2 linked regions of the Caenorhabditis elegans genome follow. The protein of the gene in region 2 interacts with the protein of the main gene of each other region in a pairwise test. Each region holds a gene or a part of one and is shown on either strand. Other genes may lie near its edges. The genes, in order: rnf-1 and ubc-8.

What was found.
Region 1: the proteins of ubc-8 (region 2) and rnf-1 interact in a two-hybrid assay, tested with the Caenorhabditis elegans proteins (one study listed by BioGRID).

What each region holds. Positions count from the first base shown.
Region 1 is NC_003279.8:6,007,248-6,015,869, forward strand, and holds rnf-1 (RING-type domain-containing protein), read right to left. Parts: upstream 4,340-8,622; 5' UTR 4,224-4,339; coding exon 4,217-4,223; intron 4,165-4,216; coding exon 4,091-4,164; intron 4,043-4,090; coding exon 3,868-4,042; intron 3,822-3,867; coding exon 3,630-3,821; intron 3,580-3,629; coding exon 3,437-3,579; intron 3,393-3,436; coding exon 3,276-3,392; intron 3,229-3,275; coding exon 3,145-3,228; intron 3,097-3,144; coding exon 3,010-3,096; intron 2,964-3,009; coding exon 2,862-2,963; intron 2,793-2,861; coding exon 2,628-2,792; 3' UTR 2,535-2,627; downstream 1-2,534. Other genes in the region: C06A5.12 (LEM-like domain-containing protein), read right to left, coding at 122-197, 251-312; C06A5.2 (uncharacterized protein), read left to right, coding at 1-48; C06A5.8 (RING-type domain-containing protein), read right to left, coding at 979-1,083, 1,249-1,493, 1,545-1,742, 1,869-2,043, 2,094-2,173, 2,223-2,271; ints-1 (Integrator complex subunit 1 RPB2-binding domain-containing protein), read left to right, coding at 4,811-5,006, 5,061-5,323, 5,382-5,746, 5,972-6,638, 6,900-7,301, 7,671-8,170, 8,457-8,622.
Region 2 is NC_003282.8:2,701,802-2,710,998, forward strand, and holds ubc-8 (UBC core domain-containing protein), read right to left. Parts: upstream 5,438-9,197; 5' UTR 5,431-5,437; coding exon 5,375-5,430; intron 5,326-5,374; coding exon 5,249-5,325; intron 4,802-5,248; coding exon 4,653-4,801; intron 4,482-4,652; coding exon 4,334-4,481; intron 3,336-4,333; coding exon 3,115-3,335; 3' UTR 2,940-3,114; downstream 1-2,939. Other genes in the region: Y94H6A.5 (RNA helicase), read right to left, coding at 20-149, 1,163-1,254, 1,509-1,700, 2,017-2,169; Y94H6A.10 (Ulp1 protease family, C-terminal catalytic domain containing protein), read right to left, coding at 8,320-8,865.

The sequences.
Region 1 (8,622 bases), on a different chromosome or scaffold from region 2:
GGAGCTTTCGTGCATCCCACCGAACAGAAGAAAAATGCTGAAGCCTAACTTTATTGATCTTTTCCAATCCCCTTTTGAATAAAATAAAAAAAAAAATAATCCATTGAATGAGTTGACTTACTTGAAAAACATCGTGGCTTAAACACTGACGAGTTGATTGCAAATTGAGCTTCTTTTGAGATCCAAAAGCTATTTCTCTGCAAGAGAACAGTATTATTATGTTATTATGTCATAAGACACATTTTCTCACAATAGGAATTTCACAGTAGCTTCTTCCGACGCTTTGAGTGGTACATCTATGCTTAAGACCATTGATATTATTACCTTTCTTATTGCCAGCAGTAATCTGAAAATTTCAGGTTGGAGAAACATTTAATACAGGTGAAATAATCGATAATAAGATCGCAAATATATTTTTATCTATCTGGGGGGAATGGACCACCCAGTAGATAACAACAAATACACTGGGCGGTCCATTTTAATGTCTCGGAAGCATGTTCGCTGCGAGACCATTTCACACCGTACCATTTCTTTAAAGGCACACACAGCTAAAATTTCTTCTCGTTGCTGGATCCATTTCTATCATCAAACTTTTTCATTGCTTTTGTTTAAAAAATATTTTTTCGAAGAAAGTTTTTTGGTTTTTTCTGTGAATAAAATTATTGTATTTGCTGCAGCAAAACATGTTTAACATTTTAGATGGAGTATAATCGTTTGGGGATTTCGTTTAACTGATAGAAAATGGGACCGTAATGACTAAATATAAGTGTAAAAATATACAAATTATTAATGAAGTATACGGCGGCGGTTAATAAGACCAAACACACGAATTCACTAACTTGCTCTTTATCATTTTTCAGGAAATCGGGTAAAAGAGAAATAACAATAATTGCCCGTCTTCGATTATTTATTTACATGCAAAAAGTTATCTCGAAAATAAGTTAAAAATAGCGATGACTGGATATTTACAAGCAATATTTATTTTTTCACATTATCAGATTTTTCTGTACAAGCGGCTCTGGTTTCCAATTTGGTAGCGATCGCTCCGTGGTCGACTTGAAGGTGCTCCGTGTGAATTCTTCGCTGTAAAAATGATTTTAGCGTTATCGAAAAATTTCATTCAAAATCAGATATCATATATTTGCTACGCGGTAGCGAAAAATGGTTTTTCCTTTTGGTCACATTGCAAAATGTTTCAGATATCAGAGCATCTAAGTCGGGAAAATCGTAACACTGCAAATGATTTACGTTTCTGAAAAGCCGACTGAGACCGATCTGGAATCCTCGCACGAGAGACGAGCTTCGTTCTGGCTGAGCAGGACTTTTCTTTTCAGCGCAAGGCTTTTCTTCTTCCTCCTCGACATCTTCTTCGTCTTCATTCTCTTCTTCATCTTCATCTGATTCCTCTTCATCATAGGAATATTCCAAATCAGCTTCATATACAGCTTCTTTCACTGAATCGCACAAAACTTCGAGGTCTGCCTTCGTGGCTTCTGATAATAGCATTATTTTTCAAAAAATCGGTAGGTATTTAATTTCCTCACCAATTGTACTAGTTTTTGATACATCGCGAAGTTGCTCGAATTTTGCCATCAGATCCGCTTTCACGTCAGCAATCAAAAGTCGATATCCTTCATCGATCAGCTCGTCAATCGTTTGCTCCAATTGTGGTTGGGCGGCTTGTTTCATTGGCGGCTCTTCAGGCTTCTCCGGTCCAAGGAAACCACATTTTCGAATCAATTCTGGAGAAAATAGTGAAAATTAGCTTTTAGAACATTTCGTTTTAGAATACAAGCAAGGATACATTGCATAATATTTATAAAATTGCGATAAATGAATTGAAACCGATTTTTCATTCCCTGACTCACCCATAATCGCAAAATTGGTCGAAACAGCCGCGATATCACATTTAGTCTCCGCGCGACACGACGGGCACTCCAAATACGCCGAATTTCCGTATTTTTGCATTGTTTTGATACATTCCGTGCAGAACGTATGTCCGCAATGCAAACCACGAGCCAGCTTTGTCGTCTCATTGTAATTCTAAATTGGAAAGTTTAATTTTTGAACAATAAAACAAGTGGGGCACTCACAGTGCAGCAGACTTGGCATTTGAGAAACTCCTCGAGAAAATCACCTATCAGCGGGAATGCAGGCGACGCAGCCGAACTATCTGGAATTTTCGAATTTTGGAACCAGATCTTATAAAAACGAAAAATTACCTGTTACAGATGCCACATCCGCAGGCATTTCACTTTTTGTTGCGGACATTTATGGCTGAAAATGCTAAATTAAGTAGGTGATTTTTGGGAAAGAAAGGAGAAAAAAATTCAAAACTTCTTCCAAAACTTTCTACAGTAATCTTAAAGGCACATGAACAACCATGTTTGAATTATGATTTCGCGGCGAGACCTTTCCAAATAAATGTGGTTCCCTTGAAAGTCCTGAATTTTTGAATGAGAAAAAAAAACACTTTTGAAGAGAAACAAAAGCGAAAATAAAATAAAGGAAATCGCACAGATTTTTCAGGGGAAAACAAGAAGAGATCTTTATTTTCTCTATTAAAACATGTAAAACAATACAAAAATTTCAGGCGGAGACGGGATAAAATTGAATTATATAGTAATTTATTCTTCATTCAGAAGAGCAGAGAGCAGAAGAAATCTGTGAAGAACTCTGCCGGCTTCTTCTATGTGCGAATTCGGAAAGTCTTCAGTGGAAACTGAGCTGAGTGAAGATTCATTGTCGGAGAATTCTTTTTCGTCGTCGGAAAAGTCGAGGTTCCCGTTTTCCTGGAATTTTTTTCTTAATTTCAGCTGTTTTAGTTTAAAAAATAGCCGTCTGACAATAAATTTACATACATCTCCAAAAAGGCAGCGAAAACTTTTGTACGTCTCCTCTTCATCTGTTTCAGGCATAACCAATGTGGGATAGTAGTCATCGGAACATTCGGAGATATTATCCTGAATTAGAAAAAAGATTAACAATCGAATTCAAAGTCCTACTAACGTCATCGGAAAACGGACAAAAATGATCATTCTCATGATTCCCAAAACTGCCGGAAGTTGTGGAAACCTGCGAAATGCTGTCGTTGTCCTGCAAACATTTTTTCTAAAATATAAACTTGTCGACAGTGACACTTACATTTCCAAAAAGTCCTCGAAAACGTCGGTAGGCGGCCGCCTCCTCAATACCTGAAACCACACCTGGATCATCTAGTTCGTTTTCCTGAAAGATTTTTTCTATTCTAAATGTTTAACTCGATGAAAACTAACGTCTCCAAAAAGACGACGAAAATTGCGATAGAAACCGCCACCCAGTGTTCTGTCCGGGACAGTAGTATTTGATTCTAGAAAATCTGTTGAGTCTTCTGTAGTCTCAGAATCGCTGTCCTGAAAATTTTCAAATCAAGGGAGCATGGAAAATATCAACTAACTCTTGCTGCCAAGAACCTTAGCATAGTTCGAACTCGCTGATCCTCAGAATTCGCATCAGAATTGTCGTCAGAATCGTAATAACATTCAGAAACAGCCCCTGCCAAGGCTTCAGCCATGTTGCTGACCTCTCGCTCGGCTTCTGCTGAAAAAATTCAGTTTTTATAGAAAATACTTATACACATTTGGCTTTGCCTAGACTCCATAGCTGTGATTTGATGCGGAAAACGTCAAAATGGTGAATGAGACTGCTTTTTACTTCAACAAGCAGCTCGCGGAATTTATTATCAATCATTTCATCTCTATTCGTTTTATTTGAGCAGCAACTAGAGGAAGTTCGCGGAGCGTCAACTGGAGGACCCAGAAGCCCGAAATTCCTTGCCAATTCTGAGAAAAAACGTGGATTTCAATACTCAAAAGAGGTAAAACTTACCCATAATTGAAAAATTTGGTGCTACATTTTCGATGTTGCTTTTAGTTTCCGCACGGCAAGTAGGGCACTCTAAATGTGGGGAATTACCGTAGTTTTGCACGTTTCTGATGCATTCTGTGCAGAAAGTGTGGCCACAGTGCAAGGACCGAGCCAATTTTGTGGTTTCATTAAAAGGCTGCAAACATATTTTGTAGAAAATTGAGTAAAACTAGGAAATTAGTACCTGATAGCAGACTTGGCACTGGCAGTACCCAGCCAAGACTGTTGATAGAATTTCTGGATTTTCGGTATTTTTTTCTGAAATGAAATTTAATAAATTTTAATACAAACTCGAGATTGTCAATCTTACCGCTCATTTTCACGGAGATAAATACCTAGAAATTCTGAAACAAAAAGAAAGCTGGAATTTGCCTGGACACAAGCCTGGAAAACAAAAACAAATTTGGGGAGTCTAGCGGAGCGCGTTTACTGTAATTATTTTTGTCTTTTCAAAGTTTTTCATAAAACTAAACTGAATTGTCATTCCTTTTTTGTTTTTAAAATATAAATCAGTTTATTATAAAAAAATTACATTATTAATAATATTAATAATTATATATTGCGACACAAATTTTTCTCAAATTTAAAATTATTTCAGAAGTCAAGACGAAAAAACAAAGCTATTCATTATTCGAAACAATTTTTATTCGATTTTATGATAATATATATATTATTAAATTCCAAAAAGACTGTAAAATGTAAAACTCTCTCTAGCGTAGCATGTGACTTGTCGATTCCCATAAAAAAATAACCATTTAAACATCCGCGCAAAGAAATTCGCATTGGAGCGCACCTGCCTCACTCGTGCTTGTTTCGTTTTTTTATTCTCATTCAATTTCACAACCGTTTTTATCATTATTTTCCGGAAAATCTTAAGAGTTTCTCGTTTAGAATCTTATAAATAATGGAACGTAAAAAACACAAACGCCTAAATGATACGATTATGAAGCCGGAGGACATGAAAAAGGCGAAACTGAACCATAAACTCCCGACGACTAGTGGAGGCACTGGCGGACCGTCAACTTCTGGAGGAGTTAAAGCGAAGTTGGATTTTAGATCAAAAACTTGTATTCCACCAAAGCCAACGCTAAGTAATTCCGGTAAAAATTTTCAATTTTTCCCAGAAAACACCTAATAATTAAACAAATTTCCAGCAAATCCATCCCTACAATCCAGCCATCTCGTTCGCCCCAATCTCGATGATCAATGGAAAGATTTTGGAGATACAATCAATTTAAACATCGAAACCTTCCAGAAAAGCGTACAGGAGGCGATTTTAGCGGGCCATTTTACAAAAATCGCTAAAATGTTCGTCGCCGCGCTCAAGAGCTTCTTTGTCGGAGAAAAGTTGAAAGTGGAGCTCAGAATAATGGGAACAATTGCGGAAACCGTAAAAAATCATGGGGATAAGCTAAATGTTGGTTCAAATCTAACAAAAACTTGGAGAATAATTCTAATCATTGAAAAATTTTCAGCAAATTCCTCTCCACCGCGCTCTGCTCTTCGTAATTTGCAATTCTCGATCATATCCTGACAATATTCTCGAACTATTCATCTCAATAATCACTTCACTTGCAAGGCAACAACCAATTCTTGATAAATGTTATCTAACAGCATTTCTCCATGATTCTATTGGAATGAGCGTTGGACTCGGCACAATGAATCGATGCTCCTGGATTGAAAAAGAGTGCTCGGCAGAGCTTGTGAAAATGATTTTGGATCCGTTTGAAACTGTCTATCCATTTCCGGCAATGTATGCGCAGTGCCAGGTTGAGAATTTTGCCATTTCCGAATTTTTGAGCTTCTTCTCTGAAAAAGTGGGGAAGTCGAGGGAAAAAAGGTAATAAATTTACGATTTTTTAGAAAAAATTTCGCTTATATTTTTCCTAATTTAAACAGAAACAAAAAGCAGCATCTACAAACAACGGTGTAATACTAGCTGAAAAGCATTTAAAGTTTATCAAAATCTCAGAAGAAATTTTTATTCTGTGTTAGAAAAGTGGAAATAAAAAAAACAGTTTAAAGAATAAGTCAAATTTTAATTTTAATACATTTTTGATTTCAGTCCCCGCTCGAATCTTCACCAAAAGCAGTTAGACGTCTTTCTGGAATTCCTGAAGCCCTGGTTCGACACAATTCGCGGTGAAGTTCTTCCAAAACCTCTTTTCCGTGCTCTCTGCCTTCTCTGTGGCTACGAGCACATTCGTCTTTTCATTGCGAACCGTCTGGAAATTTGGATAACTCTTCAGAAATTCCATCGAGAAATCAGTGAGCTTTTGCTAGTGATCGGGTCGAATATTAACGCGGAAAACCACGAGTTGGACAAGGAAATCATCGATATTCTACTGAAATTGAACACGAAAAATATGAAAACACGAACTGTGGTTGGACCATTCACTCAAGCGATTAAAACGATTTGTGAGGTGTCAAGGAATGTCGAAATTGTATTGGATTCACTTTTTATTAATGAAACTGGACCAGCACAAAATAGATCTCCCACCAATCTACAAACAATTTATATGATCCTTCAAAATCAACCAACAGAAGCCACAAAAGCTCTAGCAGTAATAATATCGAAGGAATTGTTTAAAGAAAAGGAAAATTGCGTGAAAATGCTCAGAGCTTTCATGCGAGAGCTCATTCGTGGATTTTATCACTCAAAATCCGGAGATTTCCCATTTTCAGTGTTTGCGGAGACATTATTCAATAAAGTTCAGCGGCGAGGAGAACCGGTAAATTTAGATTTTAATCCAGGAACCTTGAAATAAATAATAAAGAAAATTTCAACCGACATGTCATTTTTCGAAATTTCCCCCCAAAAGCTACAAAAATGTTGTCTATTTTTTCTGCATTTCAGCAGTTTTCGCTAAATTTGATGCTTCGAATTTGGTAAAAACTGCTGTAATTCAGAAGAAAAACATGACATAGTTTTCACAATGTTCCATTTGAAATTGGTTCGAGCGTTATTTAAAAAACCGAAAATCTAATTTCAGGACGAAATCCTCAGCTACGCAGTGGATCTAATTGCTCAACTCCCGCTTGCAACAATATCTTCACTGCTCACAACTCGTGAAAATGCATTTTCCATTAAATTCAGTGTTCCGACAGGCACTGGAGATGTTCCTCTAATACCCGTAGAAGCACGATTGGCTCGTCAGAAATTTGAATGTGAATTCATTTCATATTGCGAGAAAGTGATTGAACAATTATTGAAATCAAGAAATTTATTCTTTGATGAACAAGTTTTCATTCGAAGTTTCTCGATTCTTTTGTATCTTGAAACACAAAGAGATGTCTATACAGGAATTGAAATGGCTGCAGTTACAGATTCAGAAATTTCAAATTGTATTCGAATTTTTGGAGAATGTGGAGTCTCGGAGAATATGCTTCTGATGGTAAGGATATTAAGAACTGAATGGTTTTTATAAACGTTTAATCATTTTTTTAGGGAAAAATCAAAAAATTATTGTTTTTTTTAATTAGAAAATTGCTTAAGTTAGAAAGACATTAAATTTACTGGTTTGTTATTTCTACGAAATTTTTCAAACATTCAGAATTTTTGAGTTTTCAAAAGAGTAGCTTTTTCGTGCAATTTTAATTAAAAGTTTCTGAAAATCCGAACGTCTGAAATGTTTCTTTTTTAAATTCTAGAACACTTTTTTGTTTAAAACAATCAGAAAATTTACAAAACAAAGAAGATGATATAAAATATTGGAAATGTTTTTTTTCGAAAACTATAAATTTAAATTTTTTATTTTTTCCAGATTTGCCGAGAAGAAACCACCCAACTTCCACAAAAATCACAAATCGATCTGATCTCGGCTCTAACTCAACGGGCGGCTCTATTTCATCCAAAAATCACCACAAATCCATTAATTCGCATCACAGAACCATTTAAACTCATCGATTCATATCTTAAAATGACAATTTTTCCAAGAAAAGAAGCGCCACGCCTGGATCCTCCAATATGCAATCGAAAGTTTTACTGGACTGCGTGGACAACTATTATTTTATGGATTGCTGCTGGAACAGAGATTATTTCATTTTTTGAAGAAATCTATTCGGAATATCCGATTTTGAGATATCTAATTCATTGCATTTTGTGCCAAAAATTTGAATTTCCGCTTGAATTTGAAGGAAAATCGGTTGCAATGATGAATGACGAAGAAGCAGTCGCTGTTGACGTGGAGACACGAGTCATCGAAATGTATGAGAAGAATATGAAACGAGCGGTACCTGCAATGAGTATGGAATTTCCGAATAGGTAAGATAAGTGTCCGATTTGAATGGAAAATTCAAAAAATTTAAATAAAAAGGTAAAGAATAAAATTTTGGTGCAAAGTCAAACTAAACTTGAAAATATATAGGAAGTTTGAAATTTCAGAAAATTTTCAAACTAAATTTTAATTTTAAAAATGTAACCTTTATCAGAATTTTTTTTTCAAATTTAAGATTTTCTGTTTGAATTCAAAATTTAGAAAAAAAAACGAAACATTTTAAAATTCTACAATATGAGTTTTTCAAGCTTTCAAATTACTGAATTTTTCCAGAAATTCATTCCGTGCTCCTCCGCTTCTCGACGATATTCATTTGTTTGCTGACAAATTTAAATTAGCATCAAGATTTTCCCGTTGCACGTCTCCGCCACTTCTATCCAGACTAATTTCAAATGTCGGGTCTGAAAATTCACTTTTCGCCGTACGGGAAATGCTTTCC
Region 2 (9,197 bases):
AGATTTTCAGCCTTTTTACCGTCAATTGATCCTGAAAACCCATTTCGAAGAGCCGATCGGCTTCATCAAATACAACATATTGAACATATGAAAGACGAAGATCCATCTCGACGATAACATGAAGAAGGCGGCCAGGAGTGGCGAGAAGACTGCAAATTTTTAGATTTTATGGGTTTTTTGGGCTTAAAAATTGGATTTTTAGGCTTTAAATTTGGATTTTTAGGCTTTAAATTTGGATTTTTTGGCTTAAAACTGGATTTGTAGGCTTAAAATTCGGATTTTTAGGCTTAAAATTTAGATTTTTAAGCTTAAAATTTGGATTTTTTGGCTTAAAACTGGATTTGTAGGCTTAAAATTCGGATTTTTAGGCTTAAAATTTAGATTTTTAAGCTTAAAATTTGGATTTTTGAGCTTAAAAATTGGATTTGGAAGCTTAAAATTTGGATTTTTAGGCTTAAAGTTTGGATTTTTAGGCTTTAAATTTGGATTTTTTGGCTTTAAATTTGGATTTTTAGGCTTAAAATTTGGATTTTTGAGCTTAAAAATTGGATTTGGAAGCTTAAAATTTGGATTTTTAGGCTTAAAGTTTGGATTTTTAGGCTTTAAATTTGGATTTTTTGGCTTTAAATTTGGATTTTTAGGCTTAAAATTTGGATTTTTAAGCTTAAAATATGGATTTTTAAGCTTAAAATATGGATTTTTAGGCTTTAAATTTGGATTTTTAGGCTTTAAATTTGGATTTTTTGGCTTAAAATTTGGATTTTTTGGCTTAAAATTTGGAAATTTGAGCTTAAAATTTGGATTTTTAGGCTTAAAGTTTGGATTTTTAAGCTTAAAATTTGCATTTTTAAGCCTAAAATTTGGATTTTGAAGCTTAAAATTTGGATTTCTAAGCTTAAAATTTGGATTTTTAGGCTTAAAATTTGAATTTCTAGGCTTCAAATTTGGATTTTTAGGCTTGAAATTTGGATTTTTAAGCTTAAAATTTGGATTTTTAGGCTTCTCAGCTATAAATCCTAAAAAATTGCAATTTTTTGCATTTTGTGGGTCAAAAACGCTGAAAACCGTCCAATTTTCTGCGCAAAACCATCGGATTTGTTCGATTTTTGGGCCAAAATGACCGAAATTTCGGCGTTTTTTCGTCGAAAAAATCCTCACTAACATGTCGGGATTCTCGTGAATTGTGGAGAATTGCTCCTCAATTTGATCTCCTCCGACAAGGCAAGCACAACGGAGTCCTGTGAAGCGGCCGAGCTGAAAAATGAGCAATTTTGAGTGAAAATTCGGGGTTTTCAGCTAAATTTTTGAGATTTTTGGCATAAATTCACACTTTTTAAGTGAAAAAGCAACATTTTTAGGCAGAAAAAAAATGAATTTTTAGCCGATTTAATGATTTTTAACGGAAAAAAAATCAGTTTTCAAGTGAAAATACAAAGTTTTTGAGCATTTTTTCGCGGTAAAAATCCAGATTTCCCAGCCAATTCCTCGATTTTCATCAATTTTCGCACCTCTTTGACGACTTTAAACGTCTGAAGAGCCAATTCTCGTGTCGGAGACACCATAAGAGCCCGAATTCCAGTCGTATCTCTTCTTTTCAGCTTTTGGAGCATCGGAATCACAAAAGCGGCGGTTTTTCCGGATCCTGTACGTGACATGGCCACCACATCTTTTCCATCCATAATACACGGGATTGTTTTGCGCTGAAAATTGGAAAATTTGGGGGTTTCCGGCTTTTTTCTGGGGAAAATGGGATTTTGCGGGTTTTTGAGGGCTAAAAACCAGATTTTCAAGCTTATTTCGCTTTAAAAATTGAAATTTTAAACTATTTTATTGGTAAAATAGTGGAGAAATCGATTTTTATGTCAAATTTAAGTGATTTCAAAAATTTAAATTTTTCGCGGGAAATTTTGATTTTAAAGAATTTCTAATCTTTTTAATCAAAAATTTCACAATTTTTCACTCCATTTCCCACTACAAAAAGCCATTATTTCCTTAATTTTTCGCGAAAATCCTTGCCTGAATCGGCGTGGGCTGATTAAAGCCTTTTTTCTCGATCGCCTTGTAAACCGAATGGTCCAAACCGATTTGTTGCCATCCTCCGGCCTTTTTATGCTTTCTATTCTGATTAATTTGCAGCTGAGTGAAGTCTTCCTCGTCGTCCGACGCCATTTTTACCCTGAAACGAAAATATCGATTTTTAGCGGGAAATTTGTCGCGGAAATTGACGAATAATGAAGAAATAGGTGATTTTTAAAATTTTAAATCAAAATTTACAAGAAAAATCGAGAAATTCGGTTGGAAATTGGCGGAAATTGAATTTAAAATTTAATTTTTCGTTGAAAAAATCATTTGCGCGTAGGTTCCGCTGCATTGTGTGCACTCTGGAGGGGTGGCGTGTTTGCGTACAATGCGCGTCAGAGGCAATGTTGACCGTACCCCAAGGGGAAATTCAGCTTTTCTGTGTGTAATTAATAATTTTCTGAAAATGCCTGTTTTTCTCATGAAAAAGCTTTATTATGTACACAAAATCTAGCGAGAAATTCCAAAAAAAAACAAATTCACAAAAATACAGGAAAACCTGGGCGAAAAAAACAGGGAAAGGCAGTCCGCGAAAAGGAAAAATCGATAATATTTACAATTTTCTACACATTCTACACAGGTGCTCATAGGAAATGAGTAAGGACAACGAGAAAAAAAACGGGGGCAACGAAGATATGGACACACGAAGAAGGAAGAAACTGGGAAAAAATACAAAAAAATCCTGAATTTCGGGGGGAATTGAAGAGAAAATTTGGGGGGGGGGGGGGGCTTGAGGTCAAAAAAATTGGTGATTTATGGGAAAAATGAAGAGATTTGAGTGGAAAATTTGAAATTTTCGAGCATTTTTACCCCTAGATTGATGAAAATAAATATTTGCACTTGGTGGCCTAGAAAAAAAAAATTTCAGAAAAGTTCGGCCATCATCAATTTTTGCATCATTCTAGTGTGAGTTTTGCTCAAAAATCTCAATTTATAACTAGTTTTGACTTAATTTTCACGGGAAATATCGGACAAATTGAACAAAAAAAAAAGAATTTTAAGCGGAAAATAAAAGTTTTCCGAATATTTCCCCCATTAAAATTCCATTTGATCTACAGTCATTGTGTCGTCAGCATCAAAATCATCAAAGTTCACTTCACTTTCATCAAATTCCGACATTGAACTACAACTTTCGTCGTCATCGTCCTGCGGGTGACCATCGTAGTGCTCCGAGGGTGTTGAGGATATGGAATAGGCGTTTCCCGGGGAGCATCCTTCTATGGCACGGTGTTCACTTGCAAATCGCATTACGTATTCTGAAAATAAAAAAAAATTTAAAAAAATCGATAAAAATCGGCAAAATTCCATTTTTTTGATCAAAAAATTGCTAAAAACATGGAAAAATTCGCTCAAACTCTTAAAATTTTGCAATTTCAACCTCAAAAACCACTTAGAACCGTAAAAAGTACGCAGAAAGCAAAAAAAAAGCAAAAAAAAAAATGATGGCCTAACTTTTAGAATTTCTAGTCCACCAAGTGAAAAACTAGTCCCCGATTGTTTTTTGCCGAATTAAAAAAAAGGATTAAAATATACTTTAATAATTTGAATTAAAAAAAGCTCCAAATAAAATAAAACGGCCAGTTTCGAGTAGGTGGCCTAGAAATTCAAAAGTTCGGCCATCAACATTTTTTTCTCTAAAAAAATTTTTTTCGCGAAAATTGAGATCCTTACACAAATAAGCTTAGAACATGGTTAAATCAAAATCAAAATTGTAAAAAAAAGTTGGCGGTCTAACTTTTGGATTTCTAGGCCACCAACTTCCAAACTGGGCTCGAAGCGTGTGTTTATCTATTTTTTTCCTCTGGTTCCCTTATTTTTCAGGGTTGAAAGCCTACTAAAACCGTGAAAAAAAAATATAATACCCGAGGTGGCCTAGAAATCCGAATTCTTCAAAAGTTAGGCCACCGATTTTTTTTTGGTTTTTCTTGTGGACTTCTTTCTAGAAAAACTGTTTTTCAGCGTATAAACTACAGAGAATAACTGAAACCCCCAAAAAAAAAATCGAAAAATATAACGGTGGCCTAGTTTCTGGGATTTCTAGGCCACCAAGTGGAAAACTAGTCCCCCAGTATAAGTGAACCGGTTTTTAAAGCTAAATCGTGTTATAAACATACTAAATGACAGTAAAAACTCAAAGAAATGAACTAGTGGCCTAGAACCCCAAAACTCGGCCATCAACGCATTTCCGCTCTTTCTGGGTCGATTTTCATGGTTTTTTCAATGCAAATATTGATTTTTTAGTGTTCCAACGCACCTCTACACGTTCTTCTGTATTCCTCTGGCTTGTGAATGTATAACCGGGCGGCTTCTCCGTTCAAGGGGTCTGCTGCATTCGGGTAGGTGAGAAGTTGAGGCAGGAAGGTATCGAAAATGTTTGTGAGATCGTAGAGGGCTGTCCAGGCCTGAAGAAAAAATGAAAATCCGATTAAAAAAATCGGCGTCCTAACTTTCGGATTTCTAGACCACCAAGTGAAAAGTTAGTCCGCGGGCTGGTAATTGCTTAAAATTACTTAAAATGACTAAGAACATAGTCACGGACTAACTTTCCACACACTTCGGCCACCAATTCCTACCTGATTTATGACATCAAGGCATACGGTGCCCGAAGCTTCATCGATATTCGGGTGGAAAATCTTGTTCAAAAACCCGATGGACGGCGATTTGAACGGGTATTTGTCCGGCATATCGACACGAATTCTCCACACACCATTCTCGTAGGCAGCTGCAAGAATTTTTGTTCGAAAAATCGGTAAAACCTGTCTGAAATTGAAGTTTTTTGGGGAAAAGTTTCCTAAAATTGGAGGAAAATGGGCAAAACTCTCGAAATTTTCGAATTTTCGAATTGAAAAACCGTTTAAAACCACAAAAACCACCCTAGAAAACGATGAAAATCATTTTAAAAAAATTTAGAAAATCGGTGGCCGAACATTTGGATTTCTAGGCCACCAAGTGAAAAACTAGTCCCCAGCTGTTTTTTTCTGATTTCCAGGTATTACGAGGAATCTAAGTTGTCACATCGAAATTTCGGGGACTAACTTTTCAACTGGTGGCCTAGAAAAAGCAAAAGTTCGGCCACTGCGCGAAAACAAGTCTATTTCAGTCATTTTTGGGCCATTTTTTCTGATTTTTTTGCCAAAAATATTCAATTTTTCTCTATTTTATGACGTACTATCTTTTGGCCCATGAAATCTGACAATAAACTCGCTGCACCCATTCACAATCTGAACTTCATGGTTGTGGGAAATTCTGGAACAAAATATCGATTTTTTTGGAATTTTCCGAAAAATTCAATTACAGCTTAACGACGTCACAGTCTATACGGCGTTTTCCGATTGCGGTGGCTGACGTCATCGGGTCTGAAAATATCGATTTTTTCAGATAGAAAAAAAATTTCTGGAAAAAATTTCAAGAAATTTTTTTTGGTCAAAGGAAAAAAATTTCATACATGGACTTGAAAATAGTCTTTGAACAAATTTTCTCAGTACCCCTGAGATACGGTAGACTACTGTAACCCGGAAACACGTAAATAAAGTTTCAGGCCAAAACCAGGCTTAACCTCGCTCAAATTGCTCCAAATGTCACCAGACTTATAGAAAATGTTGCTACAGTAGTACCCCAGGTTACTGTATTCAAATATTAATGTAGCTACAGTACTCCTAGACTAGGTACAGTAAGCACAATGCTTCCGAAACACATTTAAAAATTCAATTGGCTCAAAAAAAATCCCGTAAAATTGTTCAAAACATTCCAATATATTCAAAATTTTTAGACAATGTTGTTACAGTACCCTAGGTTACTGTACTCAGATACTGATGTAACTACAGTACCCCTAGCCTAGATACAGTACCCTTTATGCCATGAAAACTACAAAAAACAACAATTAAACTCATAAAAAGTTCTGTTAAAACTATTCAAAATGCTTTAAGTTTCCTCAAATTTCCAGAATCTGTTCCTACAGTACCCCAGGTTACTGTACTAAAATTTTGGGTCAGCTACAGCATTCCTAGCATAAATACAGTACCCTTTATGCTATCAAGACTACGAAAAAGCAGCAATTGAGCTCAGAAAAACCTCTGTTAAAACTATTAAACATGCTTCAAGTTTTCTCAAATTTTCAGAAAATGTTGCTACAGTACCCTAGGTTACCGTACTTCAATATTACTGTAGCTAGAATACTCCTAGACCAGTTACAGTACCCTTTATGGCATCAAAATAAATTTAAAAAAAACAACAATTGAACTCATAAAAAGTTCTGTTAAAACTATTCAAAATGCTTTAAATTTTCTCAAACTTCCAGAATCTGTTCCTACAGTACCCCAGGTTACTGTATTTTGTTTTTGAGTTAGCTACAGTACCCCTAGCCTAGATACAGCACTCCTATCAACACCAAAACACTTCAATGAGCTCCCCGTAAAAATGCTCCAAAATGCTCCAAAATGGTCAAAATTTTTGCCACGTGTTTCTACAGTACTCAGGATTACTGTACCGTTATCATCAATTAGCTACAGTACCCCTCACAACCCTACACAACTAAAAAAACAACTGATAGTACTTTAAACCGGTGTAAACCCTCTTCAAAATGCTCCAAATTACACGGGATTTTTGCCACGTATAGCTGCAGTATCCAAGTCTACAGCACTCTCAGAATCCACGCTTCAAAGTGCGCAAAACACTGCTTAAAATCGGTTGAAAATCGATGGAAAACTGGACGAAAAACATATGATCATCGGGGCGCGGGTCGTCGTCGGCTGGTTGTCTTGTGCTGCGTGCGCCCCCCGGCAGCCAGCCGTGTCTTGCGACTCGAGAGAGAGTACACGGAAGTGAGAGAGTGGGTTAGACAGGACAGAGAAAAAGAAAACACGAGACAACAGACGCGAGAGAGTGTGCACTTTGTGGAGACGCGCAGCGAGAGAGGAGGGATCGTGAGACGCGGAGATTTCATGGGGAGACGAATGGGCGCGCAGTAGGCATACAAACAGCTGAGGGGGGAGAGAACGATGAACTTTTAGAGAATATTGCGCGGCTTTTCTAGACATTTTGGGATTTGTTAAGCAGAAAAGTTCAATTTTGCACGTATTCTAGATTGACAACACATTTTGCTCATTTTCAGAAATTTAGTTTTAATATGTTTTCTATTTAAAATAAATACATTAAAGGTGGACTACGCTCAGTGGGGAAATTGCTTTAAAGCACGCGTATGGTACCACAATGACCGAATATCATGATAAAAAAATTCAAAAAAATTTCCCTGATTTTATATGATTTTTTAAAAATTAAAAAAAAATAAAATCACAGTTTTCCCCCCTAATTATTTTTGAATTTCCGCAAATTGGAGTTGTTCGGTGGAGCGTGCTTGCATTGTTTTTATCAATTAATCTTTATTTATTCTCGTTATTTGACTGATTGTTGCCGTCGGAACTCAAAATCTGATAGTTTTGTGCATTTTCAATTACTTTTTAACAAACATTTTGCATTTGTCTTGTTTATTTCTTTCATTTTCCGATGAAAAAACATAGAAAATTAAGAAAATCAGTCAAATAACGAGAGTAAATATAATTAATAAATAAAAATAATGCAAGCACGCTCCACCGAACAAATCCAATTGGCGGAAATTTAAAAATAATGTTTAGCAGTTGGAGTTCAGATATAAGAAATACAATACCTCAATCAAGACATTTTCAAGATTTTCTCATATTATAAATGTATCATAATGTTTTCGATATAGTCAAAAAAATGATGAGAGGATTACTCCATTTTGGACTTTCTGACGTTATTTCAATGACAAATAACGATGTGAAATATTAAAAATAGCAGGGATATATTCTAGCCCAAATATTCCAAACAACTTTTCATTCAAATAATATTCTAGAAACTTTTGAATGGGAATTTGTTATACATATTTAATAATTTATCACGCTCTCTGGGAGACGAGAAAAAATACAATAGTGTATGACCATATTCCTAACCATTGAATACCGTATGCTCATGTTGTTTCCAAAGCCAGTGACAAAACATTTCTCAATTTTAACATATTCATTTAAATATATTCATTTCATTTAAATATATTTCATTCACATTATTTATTCATTCACATATTTTTTTTTTCATTCAGATATTCATTTAAACCAATAAACCTTAAACAAAACATGCTTGTAAGTTTAGTTTAAAAAAAGAAACACAGAAAAATCAATTAAAATCAAAAATCAAAAAAATATCAATTATTATTACGAAGCACCTGGATTAAGAAGAAGTTGATGGAAGGTTATTCTTCATATCATTCAAATTGAACGGGCTGCCTTCCTCGACGATTTCCTCCTTGATTTCGGTCTTCATACCTTCTTCATGAGCCTTGTTTTGCTGCTCTTCAACAGTTTGGCGGGCTTCAAACATTCTAATACGCGTAAGTGGCCTCATAATTCCGTACTGAAATTGTGCTCCCTCATAAGTTTTCGTTGTTTCTTCAATCGCGACAGATATTTCTTTGTGAGCTTTTTCAACTAGATCTGATTCTTTGAGAGCTTTTTCAACTGGATCTGATTTTTTGTCGTCTGATGCCATGTCCTTGTAAAAAATGAACGAGGTAATGTGAGCTTCACATTCCCAGCCTTGCTTTTGCATTTGCGTTGTAAGCTTTCTACGGATGTTGCTTCTTTGGGAATCGGGTCCATCTTTCAATGGACTTTTCGACTTGCTCGAGCTCTCTGGTTTCTTTTCGTCATGAAGATTGATGTAAACACACAACTGATTTGGGTCGTTGATTATTATCGGACGAACACGACTCTCCATTCTGCTGAAACAAAGAAATATCGTACTGTAGGGAATTGTAAGATATAACGTAGTTCCAGCAAGATAATGCTTTAAACGGAAGACTTTCAAAAATCTATGAAAACTACATAAAACAAAGGAAATGTGGTTATGTGAGAGAAGTTAATGTACCGTCAGAAGGTGGGCAGCGGACTGTTTTTGTAAACGGTGGGGCTCGAAAATTTTTCCCCCACTAAATCAGAAAGTTGTCAAAATTGCCACAAAGTATGGACCGTCTCGCAAAAAGGTAATTCGAGATTATTGGAGACTGCAACAAGGCCAGACATAATATGGTATATTTCGAATAGCCTACT